Linked DNA regions of Bombyx mori. Each later gene encodes a partner of the first gene's protein in a complex. Links are inferred from orthologs where the notes say so. Each region holds a gene or a part of one and is shown on either strand. Other genes may lie near its edges. The genes, in order: THO complex subunit 6 and THO complex subunit 7 homolog.

Region 1 (4,222 bases):
TAGAAGATTATGAAGTAGTAGTATAATTTCAATGAACAACAATACCATCATCCAAATATTGGCAATTGATAACAAACAAAAACTCACAGCACATAAAATTTCCTATGATTACCTACTGCTATCATCAGTTATTATAACTCATTAGTAATATTATTAGCAGACTGTCATAGTTGTTAAAGTAATCACGGTTTCCTTGAAATATGAAGAAAAAGCCTAATAATATGAATATTAAATTACCAAACAAAATTAAATTTAGAAAAAAAATATATAATAATTGGAAACCCTGAAAAAGGTAGCAAGAATTACAAAATAATGTTGATTTATAAAGCCCAACGTGTGCCAACCTCATATCATAAAAATTTAAGAGACCATCCCCGGAACAAATCTCCAATACCATGAATCCGATTTCTGTGTATTTGTTGTATTTATGCTAACTACTCACCCTTGTTCTTCCAGGCTATCTTCCAACTCTGCACACTTGACTTCAATCTTCCTTTTCCTCTCATGATCGAGTATTTCTCTATTTGGTTGTTTGTTTGACGCCGAATCCAACTTGGCGATCTCATCTTCAGTCCGGTAGTTGACGGAGTCTTTTGTTTTTCTTACCGTGGCCCAATTTCTCTGTACGTAGCCATTTGTACCGGAGCCCCGTGGCGTCGTCAACCCGATCCCATTATACATTATTTCGTATTATATACCTAAAACCAATCGTAACACTTACGGTGTGCAAATTGAAGGTTCTGAATTAGGCCACGAGATTAGAAACTCCCAGAAAAGTTAGTAAAATAATCTATAAATAACAATTTCTCTTTCAAAAAATGTATCAACGTTAATGATCAATAACTCACAATATTATTAGATTATATGTTTATGTTTAAAAAGAATTGAACACGACCATCTTGCTTGGTTTTGATTTTTTTAGATTGAATTATTCATAGACAACGAAATGGCTATGAATTTAGATGTTTCATTTTATCTATAGTTTTTAACTGACAATGACAAAGTCAAGCAAATCAATTGGAACTTTAGAATAACTTTTCTATTTTGAGATCGCTAAACAATAAGATAAAAAGCATAATTTTTGAATAAAAATAATACATGTAACATGATTTAATGAGTTTTCGGCAAACAAAATGAAATATATGAAAAGAAACTTAGGCAAATGTCAATAAAACCACAATATTTTTGTTTTAGATAAGAGTACATAATAATATAGTGTAATAAGAGTTTTAGTAAGAGTAAAGTGAAGTACCTATTTCATTTTATTAAAATGTTTCTAACCTATAATAGTAATGAGTCAATAAATTAATACGTGATTTATTAAGTTGATTTGTGGAAAGATAGCTTCGTCTATATAGCTTCCTTTGTTAAAAAAATAACCTTAGGTCTTACTAAATTTCTGTTCTTATACAGGGTGAATTTGCCTTAATTTTATCTCAATTCGTCATAAAGAGCTATAGAGCTAAATCATTTTGGTTTTTTAAAATAGAGCATGGACACTGTTCCCTTTGCCTAAAGAGTGTATGCCGCAAAAAAATCGCTGCATTCGAAATAGAGGTTATATGTAGCTTTAAATTGTGTTGTTTACCTATGGTTGTTTATGTTTCTTTTTCAATTAAAATATTGCATGGCATCTAGAAAAACTGACGAAGTAGTCTAGTTTCTGAGCAAACACAAAACTTTTACCATGTTGAATAAAATGTTGTATAACACTGTTTTATCTCAGACTTTATCGCCGTGTGGTAAATATTTAGTGGCCGGCAATATTTATGGAGATCTTGCTGTATTTGAGTATGTTATTTGTATTAAATTTATAGAAGTATATTTTAATATTTGGAGAGGTTTATAAATTCATTCTAAATTTTTGTTACAGCCTAGATCGTATTTTAAATCCAGTACTAGAATTATTATCTGTTGAATACAACAAACCAAAACATATACATTCTATAGATTCAAAAAAACAGATTTGTAGTCTAGTTTCAACGGAAAAATTCCTTATAATTGGTACCGTTAATGAAATATGCGGATGGGACTGGAAGGCTGTTGTTTCTGTTAAATTATCAAAACCTGTATGGAGCATAAAGATTCCTTCCCAAACTTTTTTGGACTACAACGATGTGAACTGCATGTGGCTATCTCAAGACAGTGAGAAGCTGTATGCTGGTTGTGGAGACAATAATGTGTATGTGTTTAATTTGGAAGATGGGAGCCTTATTTCAACTTATAAGGGACATAATAATTTTATTCATTCTATTCATGGAAAGTAAGTTGTTTGTTTGTTTATTTGCCTTATTTCAGCTGCTAATATATTTGCCCTGACAGTGATATACATATATGCTTATGGCTAATATTACAGTAATAAAGAAGTTATTTAAAAAAAAATTTCAGAAACCAACAGATTATTTCAGCAGGCGAAGATGGTTTGGTTATGCTTTGGGATACTAGAAGTGGAAAATCACACAATAAATTGGAACCGCACACTAATAATAAGGTCAGCAGACCTGATATTGGCAAGTGGATTGGCTCAGCAGCTCTTGGAGATGACTGGATTGTAAGTTCATCTATCATCAATCTAATTATTCATACATATTATCATTAAAATGCCAGAGGTGAAAATAAAAACAAAAATGAAAATCAGTGAAAAAATTATTTTTGTTTAATAGGGAATTTACATAATAATATTGTGACTGATATTTTTCTGTGTGTGTTGTAAAAGGCGATTTATTTTATTTAAAACCCTCTTAAGCCATCAATAGCATTCCTAAGGAAAGTTGTGTCGAAGTCGTTGTGGCCTAAAGGATAAGATGTCCGGTGCAATCATATCTAGCAATGCAACAATGTTAGAATCCCACAAGCCAGGTATCAATTTTTCTAATGAAATACGTACTTGACCAATGTTCACAATTGATTTCACGGTGAAGGAATAACATTGTGTAATGAAACTCAAACCTGCAAAATTATAATTTGCATAATTACTGGTGGTAAGACCTCTTGTGAGTCTGCACGGGTAGGTACCATCACCCTGTCTATTTCTGCAGTGAAGCAGTAATGTGTTTCGGTTTGAAGGGTGGGGTAGCCGTTGTAACTATACTGAGACCTTAGAACTTATATCTCAAGATGGATGGCGCATTTACATTGTAGAATTTTTTTTATTGCTTAGATTGTGGACGAGCTCACAGCTCACTTGGTGTTAAGTGGTTACTAGAGCCCATAGACATCTACAACGTACTGATGTCTATGGGCTCTGGTAACCACTTAACACCTGGGTGATAATTAATAATGGAATATATAAAAAATTTACAGGTATGCGGTGGTGGACCTCGATTGTCTCTGTGGCACCTTCGTTCATTAGATGCAGTGACAGTCTTTGACATTCCAGACAATGGGATTCATGTGTCATTCTTTCATGATGACTGTGTGTTTGCCGGTGGTACTTCTAAACATTTTTACCAAATGAGCTACTCGGGTGAGGTGAGAGTAGAACTACCAGTGTCTGCCACGACCATATACAGTGCGGTGCTAAGAACTAAATACAGCACCCTGTTAAGTTTAGCCGGTTCCAGTCCAGAAATAGATTTGTGCACGTCTCTTAATTACAAAGATCAAGTTTTACATTTTCGATAGTTATAAGCATATTTAGGTGGAAAAAATTAAATGAAATTAAATCGAGACCTAAGTTTTATTATATGAGTCGACTATTATCAAAGCCGGTAATGTGACTTTTGGAAAATTATTGGTAAATCAGAAAAATGAATTATTGACTTTGTATTCCATTGGTAGTCACAAAACTCTTATGAGCGACATCTTAGATAAATAACAGGTTAAGTATTAACCTTTATTTAATGCAGGTTTTGAACCGTATTCTTTGAAGGAGACTATTATATTCAAATCAATCTGTATTGACATATCAATAACATTTTTTTGTCCAAATGCACAGATTGCCACCTTTGATAATAGACGACTAATATACAGTATTTACTAATATTATGATAAGTTCAGTAAAATTTACTCTAGGATATTTAAATAACTTAATTTTTCATTTTCTCAGTCACCTGTACATATTTTGAGCTTTTAATGGACAATGTAAAATATGCATGTATGCAACATTAAAACATCAATAAAGTTTTTTGGATAACAATATTTAACCAATTGCGCCCAGTCGGTACTTGTGTAAATTATAGTTACTTGCTCCAGCCTCAAATTGAAACAGCTCATAAGTTCA
Region 2 (3,650 bases), on another chromosome or scaffold:
ATGATTTCTATACCTAGGTATGTAATTATTTTTTTGTTTCATCTCTTTTTTAAGTAGAAATACTTGATTATTATTTAACATTTACTTTTTTATTTAACTATCTATTCAGACAGTCATCTTTGAATTGAACATTGAAAATTTAAAGGTTAATTAGGCCAGCTACCATTCCATTTCTTGTATTAATAAAGAAAAAAGCAAAACACACAACAGAATGCACAGAGCTTTCCAACATGTCACAGCTGATACTAGCTTGAATTAAGAAATGTTTTTATACTTTATTTTGCTGACTAATAAAAAGAGTAGAGCGGGAAGTTATCCCAAAGCAAAAGAATAAGAGAAAATTATCTCGATAAATGTAACATTTTATAGTTAGATTTAAATATTGGTTACTTCCACATTTGTAGTAAGAAGATATTAAGAAAACTTAGCGCACTCACCATTGAACATAAGATAGTAATAGTACCTAGTAAGTTTAATTATTTTAGTCTTGTCTTATACTTCTTTCAATAATAGAACTGGTTTAAAAGACGATATTTTTCATGTCTTAAAATTGAATTGGAACTTACTTCGTTAGCTTCTCCAGCCCGGTACAAAGTAGGCTCGGGGTAAAGAGTACAAACAGTACTAAATACGGCACGACCAGCTGCCCCGTGATAGGAAACTGCCAGGTTGCGCTTTGTAACATTGTTGTTAATATACATTTGCCGCTCAGAAATAAGGATAACACTTGACCAAGCAGTATGCTCCTCCACACTTTCCTGAAAATGCACACTTAGTTAGTTTAAGGACGTTTACCCAAAAAATATTTTATTTATTTATTTATTGATACTAGCCATCGCCCAAGTTCCGAGAAATAAATCTCGACTTTATCACTGAAACTTGACGTTTCCATTGTTTCAGTGAAAGATATTCCGAAAGTTTACTCAGCTAATTTACTGTTAAAATAGATTCAATAGTTTAAAGGGTTTAATATAGCAGTTATTCATCATTTCCTGAACAATGGATCGAAATTCGAAAGGCAAAACAACATGTGAATTGTGGTTGTGACATCTGTTTTTTTTTCTTGTTTGGCAGGCATCTCATAATAGTCTGTGGTTTTCTTTCGTCCATTGAATGAGCAAAGGGAAAATAGCCGATCAAAATCTTTTAATTAAAATAAAAAGGTTAAGCTTTGTGTTCTTAAAATCTTAAGAATTTAATCAGCGTTCAATTAAATTTTGAGATCTCAAGAAACCACGGTCAGCAATTTTGTTTCAATCAATTTTGACAGGAATGTGAAATAGTAAAGTTGTAATACTGTGTGAATGTTTTATTTAGTTTAGTTTTCTTCATCTTTAAATATAAAAATAGTTATCGTCTTATTTATATCATTTCATTTTTTATGCAACAGATATGATTTCAGGCTTTGTCGTAAAATATTTAGATAAAAAGAAGAGCATTTTTAACTTATGAGAATGTCTCCTTTGCCTATGAGTTGGATAAAAAAAACTTTTTTTTTATTAATAATTTAACCTGCCAAAATTTGGAGATAAAATATTTTTAATTTTTCTTGATTTTTGTAAATAAAACACACAAGTTAGCACTTACATATAAAGAACAAGGATAAATTTGAATTCGCTTATGATAAGATTATTTTGTAGAATAAAAACATTACCTAACAATTTATAAGGCAAACTCGGACGAGATCATAATTTCATTTGAATTTTACTCCAAACATAATGGGTGACGGTAAATAACTTTACCTAAGAATACAAAACTACTCAAAAACAAATACTATTTCAATACTCATTGGTTATTTCCAGAAGATGTGATTCGTAGAAGACTTCTGATCGACGGTGACGGTACTGGAGACGACAGGAGACTGAATGTACTTTTAAAAACTTTGATAAAATGGTGCAATACAACGGATGACAAACCGGAAGAAAGGTTGGTTTTAATAAATAGTACCGTATTAGGACGTATTGTGAGCTCACATGCGTAAACACTGTTCCACTTCCGAATTATCATAGCTTCCGCATTGATCATAGCTTCCAATTTGAAGGGTAGAATTGCCATTGTAAATTCAATTGAAACTTCTATCTCGTGTCCCAAAGGTTCTGGTAAGCATTTAATACCAGCAGGGAAATGTTGGCATCTGTTTATCTATAATAAAGAGCCTTAATATTCAATTAAGTGTTCATTAACCTTTTCATTTATTCCCCATATACATTTGTTGTTTTATTATGAGAATAAAAATCTGCAGTCAAAATGTAAGTTTTTGTAGTTCCAGAATATGTAATACGATTAAGATTTCTCGTTTTAGTAAAGCTACTCATGATCGTATGTTAGCTCAACTGGCACAATGCGAATTTGCTGTCACAAAATCGCAACTCGGTTCTGAAATGATGGCTGCTGAATTAAAAAGCTACGAAGCACTCTCGAAAATTCTAGAAAGCGGAATAGAGGTGGCCAAAGAGAACATACAGAAGAGCAAAACAGATTTAGCACAAGCAAAGACTGTCAGAAAAAACAGAATAGAATATGATGTCTTGGCTAAGGTTATCAGTGAACAGCCTGATCGTAAGGAAACCTCTGAGAGATTGAGCACTCTGAAGACTGAACTAGCAAACTTGGAAACCACCAAACAGCAATTGGAAAGTCGGTTAGCATTACGAAAGAAACAATTTCATGTGCTTGTAACTTCAATACATCAATTACAAGCATTATTAGATGAACTAGATGATGCAGAGACTATTTGTGATGATGTTGATATGAAAGAAATATCAAATGAATCATAATAATGAGTGATGTATTAGAGTATAAGATTATTTCTCTATGTGAGATTTCTAATAAAGTATGAATTTTCTACTTGATTTTTTGTTTACATTTTCAGTACTGTAAAATGGGGAGAATTGGGACACTTTTTAAGTTCGACATTGATTTGTATAGTTTTTTTTTGTTTTAGTAATAAAACGGAGATCATAATGGTTCTGGAGGCTTAAATATTTATATACAATGCGTTACTATACATTGTTCACTACAAAAATACACAAAAACTGAAAAAAATAGCTTGACCCCATTCACCTTGGCTTTGGGGTTGAATCAGGTTACGTAGGGGCCCGCGATCTGGACGGGACCTTCAGCCCGCAATGATTGCGTGCTGTGGGTCTCGTCTGCGGGGGAGATGCTGGACTTCCACCAGGCGCGTCCGTGGGTGGCGGATCACGGGATCCTCTGGGCGACATTCCCAGAGGTATGGTCCGATCTTTTTCGTTGCGAGGATTCTTAGGTTTAGGATTAGGTTTAGATGTAGGTTAAAGTCCTAGGTTTAGGATTAGGATAGTTTAGCTAGGCTTTGCCTGGTAGATCCTTTGTTGTTTTCATGACTTGTCCAAAAGTCACACTACATAGTGATCTAATGCAAACATTAAATTATGAATCGCAAATACCTTTTTTTTGTTTTAAATGGTTTCTATAAGGTTTACCTACGGTATGTAATCAAGTCGTGAAAGTGTTGTCACATCAAAAATCCCAGAAAATATCTGGTTGAAAGAAATAGCAAAAAATTTATAATAGAATACCAAACTTCCAATAAAAAAGCTAACCGGTGGTGATCGAGATATATGATTAATTGTTAAAAAGTGTTCCGTCGTTTGTGGTCTTTACAACGC

The links.
Region 2: THO complex subunit 6 (region 1) and THO complex subunit 7 homolog share a complex: the UniProt entries of both Drosophila melanogaster proteins name them as parts of the THO complex. The link is inferred for Bombyx mori from reciprocal best matches to the Drosophila melanogaster genes thoc6 and thoc7.

Annotation. Positions count from the first base shown.
Region 1 is NC_085116.1:3,183,603-3,187,824, reverse strand, and holds THO complex subunit 6, read left to right. Parts: upstream 1-1,510; 5' UTR 1,511-1,687; coding exon 1,688-1,791; intron 1,792-1,873; coding exon 1,874-2,263; intron 2,264-2,388; coding exon 2,389-2,551; intron 2,552-3,303; coding exon 3,304-3,624; 3' UTR 3,625-3,669; downstream 3,670-4,222. Other genes in the region: serine/arginine repetitive matrix protein 2, read right to left, coding at 443-681. UniProt on the Drosophila melanogaster protein: The THO complex is required for cell proliferation and for proper export of heat-shock mRNAs under heat stress.
Region 2 is NC_085129.1:4,007,765-4,011,414, forward strand, and holds THO complex subunit 7 homolog, read left to right. Parts: upstream 1-1,255; 5' UTR 1,256-1,718; coding exon 1,719-1,728; intron 1,729-1,802; coding exon 1,803-1,926; intron 1,927-2,302; coding exon 2,303-2,777; 3' UTR 2,778-2,852; downstream 2,853-3,650. UniProt on the Drosophila melanogaster protein: The THO complex is required for cell proliferation and for proper export of heat-shock mRNAs under heat stress.